Linked DNA regions of Anolis sagrei. The protein of the gene in region 1 interacts with the protein of each later gene in a pairwise test. Links are inferred from orthologs where the notes say so. Each region holds a gene or a part of one and is shown in the gene's direction. Other genes may lie near its edges.

Evidence for each region. The genes of interacting proteins can lie anywhere in the genome.
Region 2: the proteins of UBXN11 (region 1) and ENKD1 interact in binary tests that used the Homo sapiens proteins (3 or more experiments, as listed by UniProt). The two-hybrid records come from large-scale screens. The link is inferred for Anolis sagrei from reciprocal best matches to the Homo sapiens genes UBXN11 and ENKD1.

What each region holds. Positions count from the first base shown.
Region 1 is NC_090034.1:73,865,817-73,875,671, forward strand, and holds the start of UBXN11 (UBX domain-containing protein 11), read left to right. Parts: upstream 1-6,085; 5' UTR 6,086-6,143; exon of another isoform or gene 6,144-6,147; intron 6,148-8,172; 5' UTR 8,173-8,199; coding exon 8,200-8,264; intron 8,265-9,601; coding exon 9,602-9,639; intron 9,640-9,855. UniProt on the Homo sapiens protein: May be involved in the reorganization of actin cytoskeleton mediated by RND1, RND2 and RND3. Promotes RHOA activation mediated by GNA12 and GNA13.
Region 2 is NC_090028.1:44,003,229-44,012,903, reverse strand, and holds the start of ENKD1 (enkurin domain-containing protein 1), read left to right. Parts: upstream 1-4,973; 5' UTR 4,974-5,049; intron 5,050-9,675. UniProt on the Homo sapiens protein: Microtubule-binding protein which regulates microtubule organization and stability. Promotes the stability of astral microtubules and facilitates the proper orientation of the mitotic spindle.

The sequences.
Region 1 (9,855 bases):
AATAATGAAAGCTCCAAGGCAGTGACATCTCTGGTCCATCCTCTCTTTGGATATCAGCCAGCATGCCAACACCTTAAATCAAGAAATAGTTTTCTAAGATTATAGAGATGCTCACAGGGACGTCTTTGTAAGCGAGAGTCCAAAAGTAGCAGGCTAAAACCCGGAACCTCAACCCATGGTTGATGCCAAATGAGAGACTCCCCCCTGGGCACACAGAGGACTGGGCAACTTGGAAGGTGCTGAACAGACTGTGCTCTGGCACCACGAGATGCAGAGCCAACCTTCAGAAATGGGGCCCCAAAGTGGAGTCCATGACATGGAAGTGTGGAGAAGAGCAAACCACAGACCACCTATTACAATGCAGTCTGAGCCCTGCCACATGCACAATAGAGGACCTTCTTATAGCAATATGAAGCACTCCAAGGGCTAGCTACTGGTCAAGAGACATTTGGTATAATGCCAAGCTTTTAAACTTTGTTTGGGTTTTTAAAATACATTACAACAATTCCAATATGATAAATAAATACTGTCTTTTCTCCTGCCAATTTGTGTTTTATATCATAGAATGGTCAGTAGGTAGTTAGCCTAGGACCACAGTGTGTAAAACAATTTGATTTGTTCTAGGTGGGCTGGGGATTGTATGAGCCACAAACCAGCCAAAGAAGAAACAGAAACAAATTGACACCTGGTGATCACCAAGATCACTAGTTGGGCAGCATCTTAATCAGGACCAGTGAAAATGCAACAAAAGTGTGCAAGTTTTTGAGTTTACCATAACTGTTCATCAGTTTTTACTATCTTTATTTTTGTCCCAACTCGCCCAGTGAGCACTTTGGTAGAAGACAAAACTTTTGTACTGTTTGATTGCTCTAAACTTGATCCAGGAAAGATACTGTCCAATTGTGTATTGTCTCCTCATAGAAAATCATTAGTATTACAAAATTATGATTTAGAAACTAAGAGTCTCCACGATCAGTGGAGACTCTTATAATGCCGTTCAATGCAGTGTAGTTTGGGCCCCTGACTCTAGAGACCAGGCTTAGAAACCCAATGGTCAGACCACTACACCATATTAAAAATTGCATGATAATAAATGTTGTGTGAATACTAGTTAAAATATTGTTAAGATATATTAGGACTATTGCTCAGCATCCTACAGTCGTTCTATAATTTCTCATATGCCTTTGGTAAACTGTCAGTTTCATTACACGAAACCACACAGATTTGGGAGAAGGGATTACTTTTTAGAACGTGATCTCACCAAGATTTTCAACTTACTTGCAAATATTCACCTAGCAATTGCTCCCTATCACTTTTTCTGATCCCGAAGCTATATGTTTTGGTCATGCATAGCACTGTTGTGTCACATGCACAACAAAAGCAGCAGTGGCAGGTTTGGGGGAACTCCAAGCTTTGTAAAAGTCCTAAACAACATCAACGCATTTGTATTTCCACCCAAAGAACAGGAAACACACTTAATAGTCGTTGCTGAAAATACAGTGCCCTGCCTTTGGGCTTTCCAGATGTCTCCGATTGCTCTTGGTAAGAACAGAGTTCAGTGCCATCGGGCTTTTGGTGTGATCCAGCACTGGTCTTCCAAGGCTCAGCTCTGGCACTCAGCTTCCAAGACTCTGGCACAGCTGTACCAGGAGCTCCAATTTTGTTTGCTTTGCATCGAATGTTTGTTTGTAGTCCTAAGTTTCAGAGACTCTGCAGATAGGTGGCTTCTTTTGGTTGCAGTTATAGGGCAAGCCACCTGTCCATCATCGTTGAGTTTGGTCCCGCCCCTTGCTCAGGGCAATTGGGAAGGGAAGGGGGCCATTTTTCTGTTAGTCTCAGCTAGGAAGTCAATGTACAGGACGTGTACAGACTTTCTCCTGTACAAAGGCTTCAACCCTTACGACTTCCCGGGGGAGAACAGTCTTAAGAGCATCTAAAGATTCCCAAAGGTTCCAGGGAAACAGCCTTACAGCCCTGAGGAATTTCGGAGGGAATAACAGCTTTAAACACCAAGAACTCCAGCTAAGTGACTACAGGCCTACTGGTACGTCCACTCGGTTTTGAGACGCAGTTCAGCCCGGTAGTGGACTCACATCAGTCAGGCTTAGGTTCACAGTTAGCCTGGGAGGAGCTAGAAAGGGATTTTTCCTTGAAAGTAAAGCAAAGAAACAGTTAGAAGCCACCAGTTGTTTGAAGTCTGGAAGCATTTGTTTAATCTTTGAAGACAAAAGAAGTTTCTGTTTAATTGTTCATCAATAAAAGACTTTGTTGTATTTAAGCTCAAGCCTTCTAAAGACTGTTTAATGGGGGCAAATTCTCTAAGGGCTTCTCTTCGGGCCCCTTGGCTTCCCGTTGGGCTAAAGTTGCACATCCTGTTTTAAAAGCACTTCGTTTCAAGCCCAGTGGCGACAGAACACACATACTAGTTGACAGGAAGAAAAACTTCATGCTTTTGAATGACACATTCCTACATACAGAAACATCTGGGCTTCAACATTATAAGTGATACCCTCCATTCTCTGCTTTGAAATATTAGAAATGCTATTGGTACAAGTATTAGTATCCATAATCTAGTACAGAGCTGTCCAAACTATGTTGGCTGCAGTGTGTAGGTGTGTCTCTCAAACGTAATGAGAAACGTCTGGATCCATGTGAAATAAACAATAAATCATATATTTTAAATATATAAATGAAACATTTTCATGAAATATGTTGTGACTCCAGACATGTTGTTATCACAATTGATGTATGCATGTGTTTCTAAAAGTCTTGTCAGGGGCGGCTGTGGTTTTTTAATGGATTTGACTAAATAGTTTTTAATACTAATGATGTTTAATACTGTTTTAATATTTGTATATTTGAAATTATATTGTAATGTTTTTAATATTAGCCACTTTGAGTCTCCTTGTGGAGAGAAAAAGCATGATATAAATAAACATCATCATAATGATTTGTTTCTTTAGACCCCCTATAACCAACTGAACATACTGGAGGGGATTGGGGAAAAATTACCTTGATTTTAGAGAGTTGTAGTTTACTCGCATCTAGAGGAACTGTGACCTCCCACTACCACCGCCACCACCACCACCAATTATGGACTGTGAATAAAGGCAGAGTTTGGGAATGATTGACCTTGATCTCTGGGAGTTATAGTTCACCCACATCCAGATAGCACTGAACCCAGCCAACAACGAATCTGGACCAAACTTGGCGGACAGACCCAACATAGCCAACTGTGAATACTGGTAGGGTTTGGGGAGGATTGATCCACGATTTTTGGATTTTGAACATCACACCAAAAAAATATGATTTTGGTGGAATTGGAATTGAGCCAACTCCAAAACTCAAGGTCAATGGACACCAAACCCTTCTAGTGTTTTCTGTTGGTCATGGGAGTCCCGTGCGCACGGGACTCCCATGACTAACAGAAAACACTAGAAGGGTTTGGTGTCCATTGACCTTGAGTTTTGGAGTTGTAGTTCACCTACATCCAGAGATCGATGTGGAATCAAACAATGATGGATCTGGACCAAACTTGCCGCAAATATTCAGTATGCCCAAATATAAACACAGATGGAGTTTGGGGGGAAATAGACCTTTACATTTGGGTTACTGGGATTTATAGTTCACCTACTATCAAAGAGCATTTCGAACCCCAACAACGATAGAATTGGGCCAAACTTGCCACACAGAACCCTCATGACCAACATGGTGATCTTTGGTGATCCCTCTGACACCCCCCCCCCCCATGCCCAGGTTGAGAAATGCTGTGTTAAGACCATCCAGTCAAACTCCCTTCACCAGGGCAAGAAAACATAAAGCCTTCCTGATAAAGAGCCATCCAGCCAAAGATATAGATAGATATATATGATTCACACACATATGTATATGACAGATATAGTATCATAGATTTGAAAGGGACCCCTAAAGAAGGACAATTATATGTTGCATGTTCCAGAGCAGGCAAACCAGACAATCTCTAAGAAACAACTCTTTATTCTTTCTTTTTCTAACTTTGCTATTTGAAAATTGTTCTCACACTTTCAATGTTTTATCTTCTTCAATTAAAGGCACAATAAAAAATTAAAAATGATAATGAAATAACAACAACAACAAAAAGAAACAACAAGAAATGCTGTTTACCTACAAGCATAAAGAAATTAGAAACATTACCAACCAACACTTTCTCATTACTTTATTTTCCAGATCACCAGACTGGGCCACAGCAACACGTGGCAGGGGGCGGCTAGTATATTATATGAAAGAGGGGTCTAGCCCAGGCATGGACAAACTTGGGCTGAAGATGTCATTTCATTACTGGCTGCTACTTCCCGACGGCTACCAGGTGGTGCAATACCAACTAAATAGTATAATTTCTCTAACGGTGTAGGGTCAAGACATCCTGTGATAGTGCAGCATGTCTCATTAAGAGCCACATCCACTGTTTTAATGTGGAAAGATGCGTTCCATACTGGGCATGCATACTCAGCGCAAGGGCCAATGTCTTCAATGTGCCTGGTTGTGATTCCCAGCTTGTGCCAGTCAGCTTTCATACAATACTAGCCGTCCCCTGCCACGCTGTGGCCCAGTCTGTTGATCTGGAGAATAAAGTAATGAGAAAGTGTTAGTTTCTAATATATGTAATTTCTTTATGCTTATGGGTAAACAGTATTTCTTGCTTTGTCTTTGTTAGTGTTGATGTGGAGAGTGTCTGGTTTGCCTACTCTGGGACATGCAAGATATCATTGTCCTTCTTCAGGGGTCCCTTTCAAATCTATTATACTATATCTGTGTGTGAATCATATCTATCTATCTATATCTATGGCTGGATGGCTCTTTGTCAGGAGGACTTTGATTATGTTTTCTTGCCCTGTTTTATTTTTTTTATTGTGTCAGGAGCGACTTGAGAAATTGCAAGTCGCTTCTGGTATGAGAGAATTGGCCGTCTGCAAGGACATTGCCCAGGGGACGCCTGGATGATTTGATGTTTTATCATCCTTGTGGGAGGCTTCTCTCATGTCCCTGCATGAGGAGCTGGAGCTGATAGAGGGAGCTCATCCGCCCCTCCCTGGATACGAACCTGCAACCTGTCGATCTTCAGTCCTGCCAGCACAGGGGTTTAACCCACTGCGCCACCGGGGGCTCCCTGGTGAAGGGAGTTGGATTGGATGGCCTTAAGTATTTTCTGTTGGTCATGGGGGTTCTATGTGGGAAGTTTACCCTGATTCTGTCGTTCGTGGGGTTCAGAATGCTCTTTGTTGGTGAACTGTAAATCCCAGTGACTACAGCTCCCAAATGTCAAGGTCTATTCCCCCCAAACTCCATCTGTGTTCATGTTTGGGCGTATTGAGTGCTTGTGGCAAGTTTGGTCCAGATCCATCATTGTTTGAGTCCACAGTGCTCTCTGGATGTTAGTGAACTACAACTCCCAAACTCAACGTCAATGCCCACCAAACCCTTCCAGTATTTTCTGCTGGTCATGGGAGTTCTGTGTGCCAAGTTTGGTTCAATTCCATCATTGATGGAGTTCAGAATGCTTTTCGATTGTAGGTGAATTATAAATCCCAGCAACTACAACTCCCAAATGGCAAAATCATAATTTTTTGAGTGATGGTCACTCCTTGTGTTGTGAGACGTTTTGCTGCCAAATTTGGTGTGATTTCGTTCGTTGGTTCTTTTGTTTTTAAGCTATTCATTATGCACAGAACATCTTTATATATATAGATTGTTTCTAGAACTCCCTTTTGGCTTGATATTCAAGCAGTGCTTCTTGTAGGTCAGAGCACGGTCCAGGGTAATTCCCAGATATTTGGGTGTGCTGCAATGATAGTCAAGCAGTGCCTGTTTGGTGAAGCAGAACCATTGTTGTACAGAGAGGGCTGCACAAACGCACAGTTCCTGTTATGCAATGAGCCTTGGCAGTGAACTGCATTCCTCCTGATGTATACTGAAACTCCTTTTGACAGGCTGTGATGCTTCTGACATCATAAAAAGCAGCTTAAATAATGTTGTTAGTAAACATGCCCCTCAAAAAAACAAAGCCAGTTAGAAAGGCCTGAGCACTGAGCAGGCCCGGCTTCGGTTGCCTAGCAACTGAGGGCAAACAAGATGCCGGCAGCAGCCTGAAGCCTCCTTTAGGAAGGGTGGGTGAGTCTTTTGACAAAAGCCTCTGCCTCCAATGAGTTTGCGCTCTCTCTCTCTCTCTCTCTTAAGGTGCATCTACACTGCAGAAGTATTGCAGTTTAGGTGGCTCACTGGTAGGAAATCCTAGGGATTGTAGCTTGGTAGTGCAGCTGCAGTAGTCTTAGGCAGAGAATGCTAAAGGAGTTCCCCACAGGCCTAGGCCAACGTGGGCCATTCTTCCAGGTGTTTTGGACTTCAACTCACTGGCTGTTAGGAATTGTGGGAGTTGAAGTCCAAGACATCTTGGAGGGCCCAAGTTGGCCCAGGCCTGGTATAGATGTGTGTGTGTGTATGTGTACACATACATACATACAGAGGCGGCCCTAGGAAATTTTCATTGGTAAGCAAACAGCATTTTGCCCCCCCCCAACCAATCACTGATATATATATTCTGTTCATCATAGGAGTTCTGTGTGCCATATTTGGTTCAATTCTATCATTGGTGGAGTTCAGAATGCTCTTTGATTGTAGGTGAACTATACTTCCCAGTAACTACAACTCGCATATGTAAAGGTCTATTTTCCCCCAAGAGCACCTCAAGAGCGCCCCTGGGCAAAATCAACTATACTGCAAATGCTTACTTTGCGTAATGGGTTGAGCCGCCCCATTACGTCTCCTGTGTGTGTGTGTGTGCGTGTGTGTATAGTGCAGTTCAGTGCATTAAGCTGCATTATATTTTTTGTCTGTTTGTTTTATTTACGACATTTATATGCCGCCCTTCTCACCCCTAAGGGAAGTCAGAGCGGCTCACAAGATATATATACATACAATATATTATATTATTAGCATAGTACAATATCAGTATTAAATATTACTATATAGTACTATACCATTGTATTGTAATATTATTAGTAATATTACATGTAATATAAATATATAATAATAATAATATCATATCATTATTATATTATATTAATATAATAAATATTATATGTATATATAATATAATATATTATATTATATTACATTATATTATATTATTAGCATAGCACAGGAGACAAGATGGGACTATCCCCTGGCCCCCTCTCTCTTCACTCTGGCCCAGAGCAGCAGTTGGTGTTGGGGGGAGGGGTCCCCAACTGATGACATATGCAGGAGACAAAATGGGACTGTCCCCTGGCCCCCTCTCTCTTCACTCTGGCCCAGACTGGCAGTTGGTGTTGGGGGAGGGGTCCCCAACTGATGACATATGCAGGAGACAAGATGGTACTATCACCTGCCCCCCCCCCTCTCTTCACTCTGGCCCAGAGTGGCAGTTGGTGTTGGGGAGAGGGGTCCCCAACTGATGACATATGCAGGAGACAAGATGGGACTGTCCCCTGGCCCCCTCTCTCTTTACTCTGGCCCAGAGTGGCAGTTGGTGTTGGGGGGAGGGGTCCCCAACTGATGACATGTGCAGGCCCAGAGCGGCAGTTGGTGCTGGGGGGGGGGGGGGTCCCGAACTGATGACATATGCAGGAGACAAGATGGAACTGTCCCCTGGCCCCCTCTCTCTTCACTCTGGCCCAGAGCGGCAGTTGTTGATGGGGGGAGGAGGGGTCCCCAACTGATGGCATATGCAGGAGACAAAATGGAACTGTCCCCAGTTTGTCCCAGGCCTGATATAGATGTATATATATAATGCAGCTCAGTGCATTATCTCCCTCTTTCTCCCTTCCTCCTTCCTTCCCTTCTAGCCTTTTGTCCTTTTTTCCTTCCCTCTTTCCTCCTTCCTTCTCTCTCTCTCTCTGAAAGTGTATGTCAACTGGGGATAATACGCACATCTGGGGAAATGGACCCCATACATTTCTCTTCATACATTTAGTGCCATAAATGCCAGACAGAAAGGGATGCCAAGTTCATTTCTGACCCCATCAGATGTATTATAAGATCAGATGTATTATAAGAGTTTTATTCCATCAAAAGTTAGCATTGCCCCCATTGTGTTCAGTTCCAAGTTTCACATATTGATTGCAAATTTCAGTACATTTTCTCTTCCTGCATCCCTAGTATATGAAACTGTGTTCAAGATAAACCATGACTTCGCCTCTCTCTTCTCTGGGGAAGGTTCGTAGAATGCCACTTCAGGTGCAGAAAACTGGGTAAGTTGGAGCTTGTTTGCACACTTCTATGGGCCACTAATACCCATAGCTCCCAGGTTATAATGGTTTATGGAGGATCCTGCCTTCATTGATCAAGATGGCTTCTGTGCACATTCCAGGTTTGACTCTACTGCATAATACAAATCGCATCTCAGTTGAAACTAGACAGAGCTTTGAAAACATGCCTCATTGCACTGTAGCTCTCATTATCCTACAGCCTAAAAAACTAGTTCCACAGAGTAATCTGTGCCATGTTGACAGGGGATTGTGTTGTTTGTCATCCACTTCTGGGGAAAGGGCAGAGTATAAAGATAATCATTATTATTATTATCATATCTAAAAATGTAAACTTTCTAGCCTCTGCACTCAGTTAGGGGGCAGTTAGTTTTCACATAGCTTAGAGCAGGGGTCCTCAAACTAAGGCCCGGGGGCCAGATGCGGCCCTCCAAGGTCATTTACCCGGCCCTCACTCAGGGTCAGCTTAAGTCTATAATGACTCAAAAGCACACAACAACAACAACACCAACCCTATCTCATCAGCCAAAAGCAGGCCCACATTTCCCATTGAAATACTAATACATTTATATTTGTTCAGATTGTTCTTCATTTTAAGTATTTCATTGTTTTTAATTTTTTTGCACTACAAATAAGATATGTGCAGTATGCATAGGAATTCATTCATGCTTTTTTTTTCAAATTATAATCCGGCCCTCCCAACAGTTTGAGGGACTATGACCTGGCCCTCTGTTTAAAAAGTTTGAGGACCCCTGGCTTAGAGAATACAATTATGCTGCGGAAAAAGGAAGGAAAAGGGAAGAGGGGCCGACCAAGGGCAAGATGGATGGATGGCATCCTTGAAGTGACTGGCTTGACCTTGAAGAAGCTGGGGGTGGTGACGACCAACAGGGAACTCTGGTGTGGGCTGGTTCATGAGGTCACGAAGAGTCGGAAGCGACTGAACAAATGAACAACAACAGATTTCACTTACTTTGCAGTTTGAAGTGGAGATGAGCACCACTCCCCAGAATTGGACTCAACCAGACTTAATGTCAGGGGGAACCTTTACTTTTACTATACTCACATCATCAACTAACTAAAGAACGTGTTTATTGTGTGTCTGAGATGTAGCTTCCTCTTTTCTCTAAAAGTAAAGACTGCTATGTTTCAAATACACCAGGTTGTCAGGAAATGTAGGCTGGAGTATCAAAATGGATTCATTTTAGAATAAGTAGAATAACTAATAATATTTGGGTTCCAGACTGGTAAGATATTAAATAAATAACCTAAACAAATAAAAAATTAACTATAAATATATCCTGTTTTCTTCTGGATTTTAGGAAGAAGATTGTACACCTCAAAGAAAATATCCAGAAAGGTAGGAAACAAGCCCTTTATCATCATTTTGGTGGTTTGTGTATATTGGTTAATTACATTTTACTAGTTTAGATCCCCAGCGATGCCCAGTTTTGGACTTTTGTAACAATAAATATTAATAAATAAACAGTCAAGGTGTTGTCGAAGGCTTTCATGGCCGGAATCGCTGGGTTGCTGTCAGTTTTCCGGGCTGTATGGCTATGTTCCAGAAGCATTA
Region 2 (9,675 bases), on another chromosome or scaffold:
GATTTTATTTTAGGGTTGAAGCAATTAAGTCTTTGTGGGCTTTGATGCTGCTCTTGGTCTGTTCCTGATATTCTCTGCAATCATTTGTAATTGAGGAGGAGGAGGAGGAGGAGGAGGAGGAGGAGGGGGTATCGTGTTCAATAACAGTATGATATATTTCATAATAGACTCGTATAACTGCATTACAGGCAGTCTCCAAGTTATGAACAAGATAGCACAGTGAGTATGCCAAAGCCTGTTAGTGTTTGTTTGCCCCAGTGAGAGAGTGCCTCAGTCAGTGCGAGGAGGCTTCCCTGCGAAGGAGGCCTCACAGAATGACAAAGCCCTGGAATGAGAGAAGCTCCCACGTGAAGGCTGCTGCGTGCAATGCTACTGTGTAACAGAGCCTAACGTTGGTTATGGGCCCAGTACTCAGCTTAAGCGGCTGAGGGGGGAAAGGAAGGGGCCCGAGGCGGTTGGGAATGGTGGGAGTTGGAGTCCAAAACACCTGAAGGGAGGGCGGGCCCAGATTTGCCCAGGCCTGGTTTGTTGTTGTTTATTCGTTCAGTGGCTTCTGACTCTTGGTGACCTCCTGGACCACCCCATGCCAGAGCACCCTGTCGGCCGTCACCACCCCCAGCTCCTTCAAGGTTAAGCCAGTCCCTTCAAGGATCCCATCCATCCATCTTGCCCTTGGTCGGCCCCTCTTCCTTTTTCCTTCCTTTTTCCCCAACATCATTCCCTTCTCTAGGCTTTGCTGTCTCCTCATGATGTGGCCAAAGGACTTCCTCTTGGCCTCTACTCTCCTTCCTTCCAGTGAGCAGCCGGGCTTTCTTTCCTGGAGGATGGACTGGTTGGATCTTCTCGCAGTCCAAGGCACTCTCAAGACTTTCCTCCAACACCACAGCTCAAAAGCATCTCTCTTCCTTCGCTCAGCCTTCCCTAAGGTCCAACTCTCACATCCGTAAGTGACTCTGAAGAAAACCATTGCTTTGACTATGTGGATCTTTGTTGCCAGTGTGATGTCTCTACTCCTTACTCTCTTATTAAGCTTGACCATTGCTCTCCTCCCAAGAAGGAAGTGTCTCCTGATTTCCTGGCCACAGTCTGTGTCTGCAGTAATCTTTGCGTCTAGAAATGCAAACCCTGTCACGGCCTCTACCTTTTCTCCCTCTATTTCCCAGTTGTCAATCATTCTTGTTGCCATAATCTTGGTTTTTTTTAATGTTTAACTGCAACCCAGTTTTTGCGCTTTCTTCTTTCACCTTGATTAGAAGGCTCCTCGGCTCCTCCTCGCTTTCGGCCATCAAAGTGGGATCATCTACATATGTAAGGCCTGTTTACCCTCCATTAAGTGGCTGAGGGGGAATAGGAAGGGGCCCGAGGCTGTGAGGAATGGTGGGAGTTGGAGTCCGAAATACCTGGAGGGAGGGAAGGAGGGCCCAAGTTGGCCCAGGCGTGCCATGACCTCTTTCACCATCAGCAAATGCTTAGAAAGCCCAGAAAAAGAGACTTTGAAGACCACCAAAGTCTAGATGGAAGTCAACAATATTATATTTTTTCCTTTTTTAAAAAAAACAAAACATTTTCCCCTTTTTCTCTTCTTATATATATATATATATATATATTCTATTTCCTATATGTTCTGGAACAGCTGTTCCAGGAGCTCCAATTTTATTTCTTTGGGTTAAATGTTGGTTTGCAATCCCAGGCTTGGGATTTTGCAGCAGGGTGGCTTCCTGTTATAATTTGCATTCATAGGACAAGCCACCTGTCAATAACAGTTAGGTTCCCTGGTCCCGCCCTTCTTTGAGTTTTTTGGAGGGAAGGGGCTATTTTTCAGCCAGTCTCAGCAAAGGAAGTCTATGCAGAGGATGTACACAAACGTCCTCCTGTGCAAAGGCTTCGTCTCTTAAGACTTCCCGGGGGAGAACAGTCTTGAGAGCCTCTACAGATTCCCAAAGGGTTCCAGGGAAACAGCTTTACAGCCCTGAGGACTTCCGGAGGGAATAACAGCTCTGCTCATCTCCAGCTAAGTGACTACAGGCCTGCTGGTACGTCTGCTCGGTTCTGAGACGCAGTTCAGCCGGTAGTAGACTCAAATCAGTCAGGTTTAGGTTCACAGCAGCCTGGGAGGCGCTAAAAGGGGGAATTTTCCTTTGAGCAAAGTTTATGAAGATAGTGCCTGTTTCCTGTAAACAAGATTGCAAGAGCTAATAGACCAGCGATTCTCAACCTGGGGGTTGGGACCCCTGGAGTGGTCACGAAGGGGTGTCAGAGGGGTCACCAAAGACCATCAGAAAACACAGTATTTTCTGTTGGTCATGGGAGTTCTGTGTAGAATGTTTGGCCCAATTCTATCATTGGTGTGGTTCAGAATCCTCTTTGATTGTAGGTGAACTATAAATCCCAGCAACTACAACTCCCAAATGTCAAGCTCTATTTCTCCTAAACTCCACCAGTGTTCACATTTGGAAATATTGAGGATCTGTGCCAAGTTTGGTCCAGATCCATCATTGTTTGAGTCCACAGTGCTCTCTGGATTTAGGTGAACTACAACTCCAAAACTCAAGGTCAATGCCCACCAAAACCTTCTCGTATTTTCTGTTGGTCATGGGAGTTCTGAGTGCCAAGTTTAGTTCAATTCCATCATTGGTGGAGTTCAGAATGCTCTTTGATTGTAGGCGAACTATAAATCCCAGCAACTACAACTCCCAAATGGCAACATCAATACATCCCCCCCCCCCCCCCCCCGCAAACTCACCAGGTATTTGTGCCACATTTGGTCCAGTAAATGTAAATACAGTAGCAAAATTACAGTTTTGAAGTAACAATGAAAATAATATTAAGGTTGGGGGTCACCACAACATGAGGAACTGTATTAAGGGGTCGTGGCATTTGGAAGGTGGAGAAACACTGTAATAGACTGTTAAGCCTGTTTGTTCCTTAATAAAGAACTGTTATATTTAAGCTCAAGCCTCATAAAGACTGCTTAATAAGGGAAATTTTCCTAAAGGCTTCTTTTTGGGGCCCTGGCTTCCTGCTGGATGCAAGCCTAACATCCTCTCTTAAAAGCACCTTCAAACTACAAGAAAGGAGATTCCACCTGAACATGAGAGTTGTTCAGCAGTGGAACTCTCTGCCCAGGAGGGAGTGTGGTGGAGGCTCCTTCTTGGGAAGCTTTGAAACAGAGGCTGGATGGCCATCTGTCAGGGGTGATTTGAATGCAATATTCCTGCTTCTTCACAGATTGGGGCTGGACTGGATGGCCCACCAGTTCTCTTCCAACTCTTTGATTCTAGGATTCTATGATTCATTTCGGCTCCAGCGGCGACAGAACACTATATATACATAAAATCCAACCAATGCTCCATTCAGCAAAGGACAAGAGGGATCCTCTCACCTCTGCAGGAGTCTACCATTGTATACCATGCAGCTGTGGACAAGAAGTCTACAGAGGGACCACCACACGCAGCGCCATTGCCCAGACACGGATCAAGGAACACGAAAGACACTGCAGAGTAACTCAACCAGAGAAGTCAGCCATAGCAGAGCACCTGAGGAACCAACCTGAACACAGCAGATTATTTGAGAACACGGAAATGCTGGACCACTCTCACAACCACCATGTCAGACTACACAGAGAAGCCATTGAAATCCACAAGAAGCAGGTGGACAATTTCAACAGAAAGGAAGAGACCATGAAAATGAACAAAATCTGGCTACCAGTATTAAAAAACTCTAAAATTACAACAGCAAAACAACAGAGAGGAAACAACCAGGCACAGCTTAACACCTCCCAGCAACAGATTTTCCCAGGCTCAGGCAGGCCTTCAAATGCTAATGAAGGTGATCAGTTGAAACATTCACACCTAGCTCCAGCAGACAAGAGTCCTTTGCCCCACCCTGGTCATTCCACAGATATATAAACCCATTTTCCTACTTCCAACAGACCTCACTACACTGCCGATTCAGTTCCGAGCACAATTCAAGGTGCTGGTTTTGACCTACAAAACCCTGTACGGTTCCGGTCCAGTGTATCTGTCCAAACGTATCTCCCTTTACGTCCCACCCCGGACTCTGAGATCATCTGGGGAGGCCCTGCTCTCGACCCCACCACTCTCACAAGTGAGGCTGGTGGGGACGAGGAGCAGGGCTTTCTCAGTGGTGGCTCCTCACCTGTGGAACTCACTCCCGGGGGAAATCAGGGCAGCACCATCCCTCCTCGCCTTCAGGAGGAGGGTGAAGACGTGGTTGTGGGACCAGGCCTTTGGGCACCTTGGCAATTAAATCAGACAATCAGGCGAGTAAGACCAGCAGGATTGATGAAATGGAATGTAAAATTAGATCAATGAGCGAAACGCTGACCATGTAAAAGGAGAAATTGGGTTTGTATTTGTTTTTATTGATTTTATTGATTTTATGATAATTAATGCATGCACTTTGTGAATTATATTATGATATGATGTAAGTTTATGTATAATTGTTTCATGATGCAGGCATCGAAGGGTGCCTTTGCTTTTGTAAGGCCGCTCTGAGTCCCCTTCGGGGTGAGAAGGGCGGGGTAAAAGAACCCCAAATAAATAAATACCTCTGAGGATGCTTGCCACAGATGCAGGCGAAACGTCAGGAGAAAATGCCTCTAGAACAGGGCCATATAGCCCGAAAAAACCCCACAAGAACCTAACTATATATACACTTTTTTCCTCTCTTTTTGCCTTTTTTATATACTTGGACCTTGATATTCCTACTTTCCTATCCAAACCAAATATGTTCCCCCACTTTCGAGGTTATATATATATTTTAATCCTCCTAATAAAAACATTTTTTTTTTTAAAAAAAAAAGGGAAATCCTGAGCCAGTGCCTCTTGCTTCCCTCCCTGCCCTTCCCTCCCCCGGCCACAAGGGGCGCTGCGGCGCCGGCCCTCAGGCGAGAAGGGGCGGTGCTAGACTTCCTAGAAGGGCTTTGTTTACCTTCCGCCTATGGAGAGGAAGCGACGGTTGCTTAGCGACGGGAGGAGGAGGAGGAGGCGGGGAGATCCCAACCGCGGCCTGTTCTCGTCCCGAGAGGTGAGCGGAGCCCGGCGTGGGCTTGAGGCGGGCCTTCCCACCCGAGGCTTCCCCAGGGGACGCGCCCCTCTTCTCTGCTTCCCGCTGGGCCCTTCCACACAGCCACATAACCCGGAATATCTGCTTAGAACCGGGTTCCCTGAGTCCACATTGCCACATAATCCGGTTCAAGGCAGATAACGTGGGATTGGATTCACCTGCGTGGAAGGGGCTTCTGTCTTCACGAGAGGAAGTATTCATATAATTATCATTGTTACAAACTTGCAGAATCTTGGCTTGTGGGAGGTTTTGGGGCCATGTTCTAGCAGCATTCTCTCCTGACGTTTCGCCTACATCTATGGCAAGCATCCTCCGGATGCTTGCCATAGATGCAGGCGAAACGTCAGGAGAGAATGCTGCTAGAACATGGCCCTATAGCCCCAAAAACCTACCACAACCCAGTGATTCCAGCCATTTATTTATTTATTTATTTATTTATTTGTCGTGTCAGATCAACCAGTCAATTATATTACATTTCTAACAGAACAAAGCAAACAAACAAACAAAACACAAAGTTTGCAAGCTTGGTAGTTGATTAAATGTCCTTTGACCAGTCTCTGTCCCCTTGGAGTGCTTCTGGTGTTGCCGCAAGGAGGTCCTCCCTTGTGCATCATGTGGCAGGGCTCAGGTTGCATTGCAGCAGGTGGTCAGTGGTTTGCTCTTCTCCCCACTCGCGTGTCGTGGATTCCACTTTGTAGCCCCATTTCTTGAGGTTGGCTCTGCATCTCGCGCAGTGTGTTCAGCACCTTCCAAGTCGCCCAGTCTTCTTCTGTGTGCCCAGGGGGGAGTCTCTCATTTGGTATCAGCCACTGATTGAGGTGCTGCCACTTTTGGACTCTCGCTTGCTGAGGTGTTCCAGCAAGTGTCTCTGCAGATCTTAGAAAACTATTTCTAGATTTAAGTGGTTGATGTGCTGGCTGATACCCAAACAGGGGATGAGCTGGAGATGTCTCTGCCTTGGTCCTTTCACTATTGGCTGCTACTTCCCGGCGGATGTCAGGTGGTGCAATACCGGCTAAGCAGTGTAATTTCTCCAGGGGTGTAGGGCGCAGGCACCCCGTGATAATGCGGCATGTCTCATTCAGAGCCACATCCACTGTTTTAGCGTGGTGAGATGTGTTCCACACTGGGCATGCGTACTCAGCAGCAGAGTAGCATAGTGCAAGGGCAGATGTCTTCACTGTGTCTGGTTGTGATCCCCAGGCTGTTCCAGTCAGCTTTCGTATGACGTTGTTTCTAGCGCCCACTTTTTGCTTGATGTTCAGGAAGTGCTTCTTGTAGGTCAGAGCACAGTCCAGAGTGACTCCTCCCAGGGATTTGGGTGTGCTGCAATGCTCCAGGGGTTCCTTCCCAGGTGATCTTCAGAGCTCAGGATGCTTGTCTGTGTTTTAGATGGGTTGGGGATCATCTGGTTTTCCCTGTCATAGGCAGTAAGGGCACCTAGAGCTTCGGAGAGCTTCTGTTCTACCATCTCAAAGCTCCCTGCTTGAGCAGTAATGGCACGATCATCAGCATAGATGAAACTCTCTGTCCTTTCTGGCAGCCATGAAAGCCTTCCACAATTACAGAATCTTGTACTGTACTGGTTTACTGTACTGGTTACTGGTTACAGCAAACAATGTTGGCTTGCTTACTTAGGTGATCCCTCATAGTCCGAGGAGGATGGTCCTCCAAGTATAGTGTCCTGGCTGTGGGTTCGTAGGTGACTGTGGAGCCCTATTCTTGACCTGCATCTTCTCCCACAGTGAGGGCATTGGATTCCACATGGAAGAAGGTCCCAGTCAGGGTTGGCTTAATGTGCCTCCTTCCTCTTGGCATGTTTCTCTCTTTCACCCTCCATTTGTGCCTCTTTGAATTCTGCAGCACTGCTGGTCACAGCTGACCTCCAGCTGGAGCCCTTAATTATTATTATTATTATTTCCGTCACTTTTACCCCGCCCTTCTCACCCCCGGGGGGGGGGGGGGGGACTCAGGGCGGCTTACAGAGGAAGGCACAATTCGATGCCTTTATCACATATACATACATATATAAACAAATTAAACAATTACAAATTAAAAATTAAAATCATCAATACACATTAATACAATAACACAGCAGTAGGTTAATCCTGAGTTCAGCGTTCGAAGTTTCATAAGTCCATTCCATCTCGACAAGTTCCAGCTCGTCATTAGGTTTTTCTTTAGCTGCCCGGGTGTCCAAATGCCTGGTCCCATATCCAGGTTTTCAATTTTTTCCTAAATGAAAGAAGGGACATTGCCGATCTAATTTCCCCGGGGGGGGGGGGGGAGTTCCACAGGTGGGGGGCCACCACCGAGAAGGCCCTGCTCCTCGTCCCGGCCAACCTCACTTGTGATAAAGGCGGGGTCGAGAGCAGGGCCTCCCCAGAAGATCTTAGGTTCCGAGGTGGGACGTAGAGGGAGATCCGTTCGGACAGATACACTGGGCCGGAACCGTATAGGGTTTTATAGGTCAAAACCAGCACTTTGAATTGTGCTCGGAATTGGATCGGCAGCCAGTGGAGCTGACACAACCGGGGGGTGGTGTGCTCCCTGTATGTCGCTCCGGTGAGCAATCTGGCTGCCTCCCGCTGGACCAGTTGGAGTTTCCGAGCAGTCTTCAAAGGCAGCCCCACGTAGAGTGCGTTGCAGTAATCCAGTCGGGATGTAACAACAGCGTGGACCACCGTGGCCAAGTCCGACTTCCCAAGGTACGGTCGCAGCTGGCGCACAAGTTTTAATTGTGCGAAAGCTCTCCCGGCCACCGCCGAGACCTGGGGTTCCAGGCTCAGCGATGAGTCCAGGATCACTCCCAAGCTGCGAACCTGCGTCTTCAGGGGGAGTGGAACCCCGTCTAACACAGGCTGTAACCCTATGCCCTGGTTGGCCTTACGACTGACCAGTAGGACCTCTGTCTTGTCTGGATTCAATTTCAAGGCTCCCAGTTCTCGGTGTCAATGCCAAAGTTGAGCCCATCTTTCAATCTCTTTTCCTGCCCACCAACATTCCGTTTTCCGTTCGGAGTAGAGCAACTGCTTTGGGAGACGGTAGTCGGGCATCCGGACAACGTGGCCGGTCCAGCGGAGTTGATGGTGGAGGGGCATCGCTTCAATGCTGCTGGTCTTTGCTTCTTCCAGCGTCTGACATTTGTCCACTTGTCTTCCCGGAGTTGATGGTGGAGGACCATCGCTTCAATGCTGCTGGTCTTTGCTTCTTCCAGCATGCTGACGTTTGTCCGCTTGCCTTCCCAAGAGATTTGCAGGATTTTTCAATGGCAATGCTTATAGAATCGTTCCAGGAGTTGCATGTGACATCTGTAGACAGTCCACGTTTCACAGGCATACAACAGGGTTGGGAGGACAATAGCTTTATAAACAAGCCCCTTGGTCTCCCTACGGATGTCCCGGTCCTCAAACACTCTGCTTCATTTGGAAAAATGCTGCACTTGCAGAGCTCAGGCGGTATTGTATTTCGGTGTCAATGTTGACATTTGTGGAGAGGTGGCTGCCAAGGTAGCATTGGCTTAGCTCTCACTACAAACCACCCTTCTCCAAGAACCAGGGACAGTGTGCCCACTCTTTTCTGTTGAGGCCGAGCAGGAGGTGGAATCTGCGGTCAGAGTATCTTTGGAGGAAGCGCAGGGAAGAAGAAAGTCGCTCTTCCTGACTGCTTCTGTGCCAACTTGGTTCTATTGGCAGGTTACTTTTCCAAACTACGACCCACCTAAGGCCCTAAGATCTTTTGGGGAGACCCAACTCATTGTTCCCCCATTGTCGCAATCACGTCTGGTGAGGACAGGGAACGGGGCCTTTTCTGTGGTGGCCCCTCGGCTATGGAACTCCCTCTCAATTGAAATTAGATCTGCTGCATCCCTCTTGACCTTCCGGAAACAAGTGAAATCCTGGCCATGGGATCAGGCCTTGGTAGATTAGGGTGACTTGCTGACTTGACAACTTTTACAGAACTGTCTGACTCCCCCTCGGATGATGATTCAAGCTGACTGTGTGTTTTTATATTGTTGTATACTGTTTTACACTGTGTATTGTTATACTGCTGTTCAATTATATATTTATGTTTCTGGAATGGGCACCATGGGATGCCAATTTGTAAGCCGTCCTGAGTCCCTCTGCGGAGGTTGAGAGAGGGCGGGATAGAAAAGCCCCAAATAAATAAATAAATAAATACATAGGGTGCCTGGCCGCAGAGTCACAGCAGCTGCGGCCTGTTTGTTGCTGGCAGGATTCCCGGGCTTTGTGCCTGGCTCTGCCCGGTGGCAAAGCGCGGGGCGTCACTCCCTTTTGGAAGGCACGCAGGAAACGGCTGAGAGGTTTGGAACCAGAGGGCTACAGAGCTTCTCTTACTACCTGTTTCATTAAGCTCCATTTCAGCCCAATTACATTATTTATTTATGTATTTATTTACTATATTTGTATACCGTCCTCAGCCCTCAGGTGACTCAGAGCGGTTCACAATGGCAACAATTTGATGCCCCAAAACACCATAAACTATTTAAAAACATTAAAGTAAAGGTAAAGGTTGTCCCCTGACATTAAGTCCAGTCATGTCTGACTCTGGGGTGTAGTGCTCATC